Daphnia pulex: one gene and its partners. The protein of the gene in region 3 interacts with the protein of the main gene of each other region in a pairwise test. Links are inferred from orthologs where the notes say so. Each region holds a gene or a part of one and is shown on either strand. Other genes may lie near its edges.

Region 1 (4,326 bases), on a different chromosome or scaffold from region 3:
CATATTTGAAGTTCGACTTTCACAATACAGTTTGTAAGGATTCAATTAATCGAATTTGGAGGGTTACCTGAACCACTGTGAACGCTGCCTTCTCTTCCATACGTAAATGTAGTACTTTGTACAGGCGCCGATCCGAGGGGATCACTGCTGTAGCTGTAAGGCATGGGCGCATAACCGGTTGGATAATAAGGTATGTGAGGGGTAGCCCCACCGGCTCCTGTAGCACCAGGCCCACTACCCCAAGGAGTCGGCAACGGCAACGGTGCGAGCGTGTCTCTATCGGCTTCCGATGTCGTGTCATCAGTCAGGCGAAGAGCCGAAACACCTACAAGATAAAACCCTTTCATCAAACAAAATATTCTATAACCCGATAAGTCTCAAATGTCAACTCACCCAAACACAGGTCTCCGAACACGTAGTAACATTGTTCAGAGAATGTGTACTTGTTTACTGTATGTCTGATGTAACCGTTTCGCAGAAGCTGGGAAGCCAACTTGCGGGCATCACGCCGCTCTTCTAGTCCTTGCACGCGATTGTGAAGCCAGTCGACCACTTCTGATCCAATAAACGCACTTGGAATTACAATTTTTAACCAAAGGCGATCTCTAACTTCAAGTCCGGAATCTGGGCGCGCCATCGCTCGCACAATTGCGAGCATGTCTGAGCGCACTGAAAGCGGTTGGGCTTCTTCAACTGGACCTGTGACAAGTAGTACTTAGTCAAAAGTTCTTTCGGTACATTTTCTACGTGACAACTTACGTTCGGTTTCTGGCATACTCGACATCATTGTTGTGGTGGTTGACGACATCGTCGCCACAGATGGCGGACGATTCGGGTACTGCGTTCCACCTAATATGACGTTAGATTTGTTGTTGGATGCCAATTTATGATTTAAAATACGACAATCACCTCTTGCTGCTTCCGTGTGAGCAACCCACGCACCGGGATCAATAGGGCGAACAGGTTCCGTACGGGGTATAGTGAAATATCCTTTTGGATTAGGATCCCAACACTTGGCGACTACAAGTTTGATTGGGCTGACACATGCAAATAAAAAACACAATGTACTAAATGTTAAGTTGGAAAACAAAAAAAACAGTTATGCTTACCCAGGTTTCTGGACAACTTCTCGTAAAACGCGAACGGCATCGTCATTTGACATATTTTCAAAGTTAATATCATTGACTTGAAGGATCATGTCACCAGGCTCGATTCGACCATCCAAAGCGACAGCCCCACTAAATAATAGCAATGATTTTCATTTGAAATTACCACAAGAAATATGTCAGGTTCATCTGTGTTTATACCCTTTCATTATGGATCCTACGTAAATTCCACCATCACCACCTTGATGACTCTGGCCGACGATGGAAATTCCTAAAAAGTTGACTGTGTCCATGTTGAGGGTGACAGTGATTATGTTGAGTGACATAGTGGAATCCGTGATACTGGAGAATGATGAAGCTCGAGATGAAAGAGGAGGGAGGCGGGGACGGCGACGATTACGTCTCCGATTGCGACCTTGGCGAGACACACTAGTGTGATCTGCAAATTTCAAAATATGCAAAATTTTCAATAAATCCAGAGTTATTATAACTTTGCTTAATACCCGTGGTCGTTGTGATACGTGAAGATGCATCTTCTTCAGAGTCAACGAAGCTGGTCGACTCTAAATCCGAGCTGATCATAGAAGAGGATTCATATTCGTGTCCAGCTCTGTGTCTCATAGCGTTGTGGCCATTTCGAGGAGCTTGAACTAAAGAGACAATCGGATGTTAATCGAATATATAGTAAGATAAGACATTCTACATGAAAATTTAGTGAAGCAACAATCTACAAAAAAAGCCATGCTAACAAACTCACCATCAAAGCGATCATATTTTTCATAAGTTTCACGATGCACACGGCCAGAGCGGGGCAATATGTGCCTCTCTTCATGGCAAAACATAAAGAACAAAAGAATTGCAGAAGATAACGAAAAATGAGATGCAACAGGACAAAGGTAAACACATAAACATAAAAATACAGCATAAGGAAATAAAGTTTACCACTGTGTCTTGAACTAATGACCGATTCTGTCTCAGTAGCTGTTGTGTATTCCTCAGCCATACTTCTGTTATGGCCAGGGCTAAAATCAAATGACGAGTTAATTACCAAACTTTACAAGCAGTGAAAATTTGTAAAGAAAAAACTCACTGGAAAGACGGTGGTCTCCCATCAGTAGTGGCAGTACTCTCAGCACATTGAGATACAGAGTCTGAAATGCTACTTTCAGCTGATACTAGCTACAAAGTGAAAGAAACATTAAGACATCTTAAAATATTCATCAATATAATTTAACTTGTTACGTTTACCCATGATATGACTCTTCCATTGAAACATGGAAGGTGAGCATCGTCATCAACAATTTCTTCCTTGACAACACTAGAAACATAAACAATAAAGAGAAAACAATGCTTACACTTGCATAAAAAAATAACTACATGGACAATTATCATGTAACACGTTATTGCCACTTGACAACAACAAAAAAAAAACGAGAAAAACTGGTTTTACCCGAAATCGTCGTCCATTGATTTGAAGAAAAATTTGTAATTTGGACGATTGAGAACATTCTTGAAATCGGCTAGGGTAACTTGATCGGGAGATATTGTAAGTTTAACAAGATAGGGAGTTTCTTCTTCGTCAATGTGGTAAATAATCTTTGTTTCCGCCATTAGGAAACTGCGTCAAGAGTCAACGACAACAAACCAATCGTTTTGACAAGATTACAAAAACGGGTAGGGCGTCAAAAGTTACTATCTGCGCAACATGAAGAGGACTGAATAGTGAATACAGACTTTTCCCCTTTCCCTCAGGCTGTTCAATATGGCGAGGCTTAAAGTCTTGTGAGCCTCCAATTGGGCGTCCCGGTTTTCCCAAAAAATATTAACGTCAGCCGACAGATGGTTTTTCCGACCCGCTATCCACAGCGTAGCCATCTACTGCTCACACTGCACACTACTTGCTTCAAATTCAAATCTGGCAAAAAGGGGGGATCTTCAAAAAGGGCTGTTGTTCGTGATTTTTGTTTCATTTAAAAAAATAAAATAGCATATAACGTTGAATAACTCGCTAACGGCCGTGATATATTAATAATACAATAATCATTAATCATGGTGAATTGGTGATCTTACTATCGTATCCATAGTAATATAATATAATATATATTAATATTTATTCATAAAATAATAATTAATATGTATTCTAGCTTTGGTTATCATGTAAGCTGTAAAGATTCCTTAAATTTTCGATTGCTTTTAGGTTGTGGTATCATGGCAAAAGGGCAGCAAGCTAGTAGCCAGTAGTGATGTTTCGTTAGTGCTTTTTCTAAACGTTAGCGTTATCCGTTAAGTTAACGATGTCTCATTTTTTCACGTTCGTTAACGCCGTTAATTAACGCCGTTAAAAATGTCTCCGTTAACGAAAATTCGACGTTATTTTTACCGTTATTTAATAAAAAAATTGCACTATCAAATCACTGAAATCAGTCACGGTCTTGATTACTTATATTTAAATTGCTGCTGGCGTTGAACAATGTCACAATGAAGCAATGATCAACTAAAAAAAACAGAAACTGCGGATTAAATAAACGCACAGACAAAAGAAAAAAAAACAAGTTCCAACTAAAAAAGTAAAGGCCTCAATAAATCCTTATTGCAAGTGAGGAAGACTTTTGCGGCCAAAACTTCTTCCGCCGTCCTATTTTTGTGTCCTAGACAGTGCCATCCGGCAATGGAAAATTCGCGTTCAGATGATGCCGAAGAAACTGGTATAACCAGTAAATTATAGGCCATTTTGGATAATTAGGGGAAACGACCAGACAAATCCTTCCAGTAAGAGATCACATCTTGAACTGGTGGATCCTTAGAAGGATCAAATTCATGACTTGCAAAGTGGAAGTTGTCTAAAAGTTCAGTTTCAATGCAGTCGAGGGAAGTGGCTAGAAGGTAGGAGCAGTCGAAATCAGGATCTCTTTAATCTGTCATGAAATTAAATCTTCTTTCGAGATCTTCTAACATCGCAGATGCCACGCTTATTCACCGTCAACAGGAGCATCAGAGTCTGAATCTGACATTAAAGATTTACACTCTGATTCTAGTTGTTTCCCTACTCTACTTATACAGTTTCGTTTGCCACGTTTTGAAAGCAAAAAAAAACCTCAGAGAAGCTAAGAAGACTACTGCTCACTGTCATTGGCTATTTAAATTCGTTTTCATAGTCAACCTACTACAGTAAAATGTTGGAAGCGCGCAAAAAATACAAATTTCATTTTGAAAAATCCAA
Region 2 (3,650 bases), on a different chromosome or scaffold from region 3:
CAAAATCAATTGTTATTAATTAATTATTCATATTATTATAAGGCAGTTATAGCAATCATGGGAGGGAGACAAAATAAACGAACGAACAAAAGATGGACCTCTCGTTTTGTCGTGGAGAAAATGGGGGAGGGGGGAAACACACACGCATTCAAGACTCACAAAATAAAAAATAGAAACGCAAAATGAAAGGGCATAGTGATATAAACATTCCCATCCTCATTAATCCGTTTTTTTTCTTTTATGGTAGACGACACACGTTTTCACCGAGCCCGGGAATCACAAAAAATAAGGAAAACCCACACAAAATTGGAAAATTCTTTTCTTTTCACAAATTTTTTTTGTCAAAGAAAAGAAAAGAAAAATAATAATTAAGGACCATACCGGAGTGAAACGAATTCAACAAAATTGCAAATAATTATAATTCTAATTAATTAATAATAATAATGGTATTACAAAAAAAAAAAAAAAAAAAAAATGGACGAAACAACAAAAACGAAATGCTCGTTTTCTCGTTCGATCTGATCCTTCGAAAGCCCCCAAAACATCGAAGCCGCTCCTCCAGATATTTTCTTTTTGCATAATTAAGCAGCCAAAGAACGCCAGCAAAATACTAGATTAGGAAGAAGACACACACATTTACACTTACACACCCAACACGCACTCCAATCACACACCAAAATATAATCGAATCCAAATAATAAATTGTTTTGGTAAAAAAGAGGGATGGGGGTGTTGACAAAAAAAAACGGTGGAACGCTCAACGAATAGCACGGCTTTCGTCACGTTAATTATGACAAAGTTCAAGACGAAAAACTAAATTGTGTATCATGGAACTTCTGTTTCAACTATGGATATAATACGATAGTGGAGAAGGGTTATTAACGCATTGCAAAATTGACCAATAATAACTGTGTGCCTTTTTTCTTTGTTAATTATTTTTTTTGTTTGTTTCTTGATCTTTTTTCGATTGGAGAGAGAAAGGAAATTTATATGGATACTATATCCAACCACCAAAGCTGAGAAAAAAGAGAGAGAGATATAAACGGTAGTTTCACATCGATTATCACTGGAAATCAGTCGATCAGGTAAATTAAAAAGGAGAATCGTCACACAACAAATCTAAGTCAACACGCCCAGGACACAAAACAACATTTTGGAATTGTAGGGTTTTTTTTGTTTTGTGTCGGAGAAAAAAAAAAAAGAAAAACAAACTAACCAAATATTTCTTCCGGGCCGTCACAAAAAGTTTCTCTTTTTTGTTCCTCTCTAATTTCACATTGGCTGGTGGTGTTGTTGCTGTTGTTGCGGCTGTTGTTGATGATGCATGTGTTGGTTGTCGTAGCCGAGTGCCATCGGATTGACGGCATTGTTAGATCCGGCTACAACCCCGCGCTGCAAGACTTCCTGGGCCGGAGGGCAATGCGGCCTCGGTCCAGGCTCCGGTGTGTAGGTGAACGTCAACCTGGTGGCGTAGATGACACCGTCACTCCTCACCAAAGATATGGGAACCTACGAAAAAAAAATGACATCAATAAATCTGGAAAAAATAAGAAAAGACAAAACGGAATGAAAATGAAAAGTACCTGAGTCGGTCCGCGGACCCACTGCCAACCGGAACGGAAAGCTGAAATATCGGGCACGACGCACAGCATCGACTCCTCACAGCGGAACATGGTCTCGGCCTCCACGTCGCCAAACCACACTTTCAAATTGGGTGTCAGATTTTCGCCCATCAGCTCCAACATGGCCACATCGCCGCCACCGTTCAACTATGAAAATACGAAAAGGCAAAAATTAAATTGACGGACTAGGACGGACTAAAACAAAAAAATATGGTTGACGTCGGCACTAGCGGGATTCTTTTTTTAATTTAAAAATAATGAAACAAAAAAAAATGTTTGGGAGGGAGGATGAGGATAGTTGTGGAAAATTGGCGTTCCGCTTTGTTGGTGCCATCCAGCGTTGATTGTAGTGGTCGGTTGGTTGGTGGTCAACCTGCGACGGTCAACGATATAACAAATGTGTGGGAAAAAAAACGAAAAAGAAGACCAAGTAAGAGTAGGAGGAGGTGAACGGGATAAAAGGACTCTGAACAGCAGCAGCAGCAGCGACAACAAATCGCTCGCATAGTTTTCCCGTGGGAACGCATTCGCCACCCAAATTGGATAATATAACAAGAAAGGAGAAGAAGAAGTGAAGAACGAAAAGAAAGAAGGAAGGAAGGAAGGAAGAAGAACATCAGTTGAAAAAAGAAGCTAACCCCTCCCTTGTCACAATTTTTTCGTCTCGGGGGCCGAGCGTGAGAAGGTCCGTCTGGCATTCTCACGCCTATTTTCCATCCTGCCCGACGCCATTGGGGCATTTCTTTATTTTTGTATCTTATCTCCTGTCGCTTAGCCTCCCGTCAAATTTTTCCAACTTTTATCTCATTGACGAATCGGACGCCAATAAAACAAGAAAAACGCAATCGACAGCTGAAAAAGGGACTCACGTGTAGCGAGTGGACGATGGGGACAGGGGTGACGGGACTGCGGACGGGTCCCATGCCCTCGTAGAACTGGTACTCGGCCTTGTCGGTGCTGATGATGGTCCAGGCGGCTCCGTCGTTGATCATTTCCTTGTTGGGCTCCTTGGGGCACGGCGTCGCCTGGAACTGGATGATGCGCTCCTGGCTGAGGCACAGGTACATCCGCTCCGTGTCTTTCATGTAGAAGGCGCACTTGTGCAGCTGCGAGACGGGGTCGTCGGCGTCCAAAACGGCCATCTGCTTGTCCACTTTGCGGATGATGAGCCGGGGTAGGGCCATGCCCGTCACGCTGCACACCAGCTTGACCGTGCTGCCGTAATGGATGTAGCCGTCGCGCACCGTAAACTCTTCCGACTCGGATTCGCTGTCGTCCACTGCCGAAACAAAATTGAAATCAAAACATTTTATTTTTGTTTTCAGTTAAGTCGAGAAACAAATGGCGGAATTTTTGTAGTAGATGCTCACATAAGTGAATGGTGAAGGCGCCCCATTGGGTGGAACTGGCGTGAAAATTGTTATTGTCCACGTGCAGGTAACGAGTGCTGACCGTTTGCGAGCGGAGTCGATTGAACAGGGCCACTTTGGTCCCGCTGGCGATGCACACTGGGAATTTTTACACAGTCAGATGTTAAGTCAATCGAGAACTGAAAAAATAAGAATCAAAACACTCACGATCGGCGTTCTTGAGCGACTGCTTCTTCTTGGACGGTTTGGAAATGACTTTAATCCGCTTGCTGTGGAAGACGCCGATATCCTGGCCGTTGCCGTAAAACATTTTCACCGACAGCATGAAATGCTTGCGCTTGTCCGAGTCGGAAATGAACAGCGTCTTGGCCGCGCAATAACTCTGCCAGAAATCAAAATTCCCAATGAATAAAAAATTCCGGAATTGGTTAAAATTTGAAAATTACTTTGCCGTTGAGGTCGAGTTGCTGCATGTCCTGATCAGAGTTGCCGATGCCGATGAAGGCGCAGAGCTGCGAGGCGGCTTCGGCTTCTGCGGGCGAGGCCCCGTTGGCGGCGGCTTCGCGCTGGATGGCCTCGCGCCTCCTCCGCCACCCGTCGCCGTAGAGGTAGATGCACGGCGGCGGGCAGAAGAAGCGCTTCTCGTTGCCGTACGACT
Region 3 (3,650 bases):
TCCCAGATACCCACGGGGTCCGCCATTCCTGACCAACAGTCCCGACCCCCCGCATGTCTCACCTGAGGAAAAGAGGAAAAAAAAGACCTTTTTCATTTTTTTCTTTTTTTTTCTGGGGTTCCCGCCTACTATTTTAAACATTTTTAGTTTTTTGGGTCGCCCTTCAACAAATCTCGTAGCTGCCGTTATACACGATGTTACATATAATAGCCTTCCACCTTGTGCTTTTAACTTAAGATGTCATTCTCTGATGACCTGAACCATTTAACGGCCCGTGTCGATCCCCGGGGAGTCTTAGGGGTATTTAGAAATTCCAACAATTTACACATTTTTAATTGATCTACCTGGAAATGAACGGCAAAACGCTATTTGTGTTTGCTTTCGAAATAGGTATCTAGAGGCAAATTTTTTCTTCTTTCACCCATCTTCAACTATTGATAAATCGTATACTAGCTTGTTTCGTTAATCCCGCAAGACCTGTTGCGCACGCAACGCCTCGGGACTCCTGGACGCTCGAGCGAAATGGCCATCTCTCTTTCCTTCTCTTTTTCAGCTTTTATCGCTGTACCCAGTGGTAACAGCAGCAGCAGCAGCAACAGGATGAATTTATTTCCTCGAGGAGAAGAAGAATAAAAGGAAGGAAAAAAAAGGCATATTGGGTAATCTCTGCGGCCTTATCGACTGTAACATACAATCTAGCTGGCAACCTGAAGACGAAAGAGAATGAGAGGGAAGATAAAAAGGAAAAAAAGGGGAGAACGCCGATAGATAGTGAACGAGAGAGAGAGAGAGAGAAAGAAAGAGCTATTTGCATACTAAGCAGACAAGGCCCTTTCTCTCTTTTTCTTTAGTCGTCTTGGATTACAGCCGGACAAAATGTGTGTTTTACAAATTTCTCGTGAAACAGAGTGGACAAAAAAAAAATCGCCATCGGTCCGTTACCCAGACAATGATAACACGAATTCACAATCTCGTTTCGCTTAATTATAATCAAGTTTTTTTTTTTCAGAGGGTTTAGGGAGAATAATTTTTATTTATTTTATGATTCTCTTGTTGGATAGAATTGAATATCCCCCCTTCATCGGTTCTTTTTTTATTAGTATTATTATTTGTTTTGCTGTGACGCCTTTTTCCCTCTCTGGATTGGATTGGCGTGGCGACCCCCCCACCAACCAAACAAACATAAACGAGGAAGACTAGTTAAAAAAACAGGACATTTTATGTGATTTGGGTGCTGCAGACTGCGCAACTGCCACTGGACGGGCAACAAAGGAAAGTTACGAGCCCATTGCAAAGGTCCGACGGTTTCGAATTTTTATGGAGGTCATCAAAAGTGAAAGAAAGAAAAAAAAAGGGGGTCTGCGTGTTGTTGAGCGACACGGCCGAGGACGAGTCGTTCGGATCATGCAGCTTAGACGTGTGTGTGTGTATGTGTGTGTGTGCCGTGCCCGTCTCTTTCCGCTAGTTGTACCGGCCGAAAAAGAAAAAAGAGTTATGACGCGCTCCGCCCCCTACTTCCAGCAGCCCCCCCTGCACCACCATCACGTAAGAGTACATCATCATCATCATCACAGGAGCGGTCAGAAGCGTTCAACAGGGCCGTCGAAAACACACAAAATCGTGATCCGACACAGTTTTGCGACTTTGTTGCTGTCGATCTCATGACACTCGTGAAAACGGATCGTAAATTATGTCCCACGCGTTCGTCTTTTATTTTATTTTTCAAAAAAAGAGGAAAAAGAGACGCGCCCGGTAATTTACGATGTTTGAAAAAGAAAAAGGAAAAAATGAAATGAGCGGGAGGGCGCGGACTTACCGGCGATGGCCATCCACGGGTAGAATGTATGGGCAGACGATTGACTCTGTGGCGATTGCTGCTGGCTAATGGCGTGGCTGGCGTGCTGACCGCTCGTGTTGTGGTTGCTGTGCTGTTGAACCGAGTTGTGTTGGTGTTGTTGCGAGTGTTGCGTGTTGTGCTGGGACACGACGCCGACGCCGCCGCCGCCTCCGTGCTGCGGCACCGGCGCCTGAACGGCTGTGGTGGCGTTGAGGGAGCACGGGCTCCACGGGTTGTTGTTTGGACCGACCGAGTTGGCCGGGCGAGGGGTGACGGCGCTGATGGCCGCTTCCGGCCCGACTCCGACGCCGCCAGAGACGTTGGACACGACGCCCGGGTAACCGCCGCCGCCTCCGACGACTCCGCCACCGCCGCCGCCCACCACGCCTCGGTTGTTGATGTTGTTGTGTCCGTGACCGACGGAACCCACTCCGACACCCCGGTCGTTGACTCCACCTTGCTGGGCCGCTCTGGCCGCATCGGCCGCCGCAGCCGCCGCCGCCTGCGCCCACGAACTGATGGCCGAATTGTTGTCGGATTTGACGTTGATGCCCGCCGAACTGTAGCCGTTCTGGTCGGCTTTGCTGCAGTCCAATTTGTACTGTTGCTCGTAGAGTTTGCAGGAAGCGGCCGCTGCGGCCGCCGCCGCAGCCGCCGCTGTCGACTGGTCGTAGGAATCGACTTGCTGGCGGGTCACGCCGCCTGAGGGCGGCCCGTAAGGATTGACTCCGAGACCCAACGGGAATCGGTACGCCTGCTCGGCCCCCGTCTGTCCATGTCCACCGTAGAAGCCGGACTGTTCAAAGTACGAGTTCATCATTTTCGATCAACTTTTTCGCTTTACCAATTTTTTCTTTCGTCTTATCTTGTCCACCACCGAAAAAAATTCGTTCACTTTAATTCGCCACACCAAATCCAATTTCACAAATTAAAAAACGAAAAAAAAAAAAATAATTTGTAACACTCAAGGTCCGATTTTGACTCAACGAACGAATCGTTGACGACTGCACTGATGAGAAGAAGGGAATACACTGAGTGAGAGAGTGGCAGACTGTACTATTCAAACTGTGTGCCGTGATGGGACTCGGTCCCGCGCGCTCAAAGGGAAGAGAGAAGAGAGGAGAGGACACACTGGGCACACGCTTGCGTCGGAGTCTGCTGATAGCGATCAACTAAAGCCGTCTGCTGTACGCGGGACTCTCAAAAGGGTGCCGGGCAAAGACACGGAGGCCTCTATAATGGGGGTATGAGTAGTAGTAGTTGTTGTAGTAGTAGCGGCGGCGGTGGCGGCAGCAGCAGCAGCCGGAGTCGAAGAGGTGGGGTCTACTCTCTCGCCTTGGCGGGGGGTTGGCTGCGAGAGCCAATGAGCGATCGTCGTTTGGGTTGCTGCACGCATCCGCTTTTAATGGCTCTGCGGCCGCGGGTCGGGCCTGCGCTCTGTGGTGGCCACAACCATCATGACGGGCACGAGGGGCGATTGGGGTGGGATGAGGGGGGAGGAGCTTTGCCTGGATTCTTTTGGTGTTTGTCGACGGAAGGACACGCCCACTTCGCCCCTTGTTGGAAATGGAAGAGTCGCCAGCGCCACTCTACGACGATTCCAGCTACCGCGTAACGACTGCACACACACAATACACACAACAGGATACTTTCGAGTAAGATGTAACAGCTTTTTCGTTGATTGTGTATGTGTGTATGTTTGTTGCGTAGAAAACAGCGGGCCCGTTTACTTGGACGACGGGTCACGTCGAGAGTTTCTTTTTTTCTTCCGTCTTCCTCCAGTAATTTTCTAAATGACGAGTCTCTGCGATGG

What was found.
Region 1: the proteins of homeotic protein ultrabithorax-like (region 3) and segment polarity protein dishevelled homolog DVL-3-like interact in a two-hybrid assay, tested with the Drosophila melanogaster proteins (2 studies listed by BioGRID). The link is inferred for Daphnia pulex from reciprocal best matches to the Drosophila melanogaster genes Ubx and dsh.
Region 2: the proteins of homeotic protein ultrabithorax-like (region 3) and recombining binding protein suppressor of hairless-like interact in a protein complementation assay, tested with the Drosophila melanogaster proteins (2 studies listed by BioGRID). The link is inferred for Daphnia pulex from reciprocal best matches to the Drosophila melanogaster genes Ubx and Su(H).

The regions. Positions count from the first base shown.
Region 1 is NC_060018.1:12,878,339-12,882,664, forward strand, and holds the start of segment polarity protein dishevelled homolog DVL-3-like, read right to left. Parts: upstream 2,936-4,326; 5' UTR 2,718-2,935; coding exon 2,557-2,717; intron 2,425-2,556; coding exon 2,355-2,424; intron 2,286-2,354; coding exon 2,197-2,285; intron 2,129-2,196; coding exon 2,049-2,128; intron 1,933-2,048; coding exon 1,864-1,932; intron 1,757-1,863; coding exon 1,610-1,756; intron 1,546-1,609; coding exon 1,308-1,545; intron 1,239-1,307; coding exon 1,110-1,238; intron 1,038-1,109; coding exon 910-1,037; coding exon of another isoform or gene 850-909; coding exon 760-849; intron 700-759; coding exon 394-699; intron 326-393; coding exon 68-325; intron 1-67.
Region 2 is NC_060025.1:8,027,467-8,031,116, forward strand, and holds part of recombining binding protein suppressor of hairless-like, read right to left. Parts: coding exon 3,439-3,650; intron 3,375-3,438; coding exon 3,200-3,374; intron 3,131-3,199; coding exon 2,993-3,130; intron 2,902-2,992; coding exon 2,492-2,901; intron 1,770-2,491; coding exon 1,584-1,769; intron 1,510-1,583; coding exon 1,273-1,509; 3' UTR 1-1,272. UniProt on the Drosophila melanogaster protein: Transcriptional regulator that plays a central role in Notch signaling, a signaling pathway involved in cell-cell communication that regulates a broad spectrum of cell-fate determinations.
Region 3 is NC_060024.1:12,346,292-12,349,941, reverse strand, and holds part of homeotic protein ultrabithorax-like, read right to left. Parts: 5' UTR 2,658-3,650; coding exon 1,817-2,657; intron 1-1,816. UniProt on the Drosophila melanogaster protein: Sequence-specific transcription factor which is part of a developmental regulatory system that provides cells with specific positional identities on the anterior-posterior axis. Binds the consensus region 5'-TTAAT[GT][GA]-3'.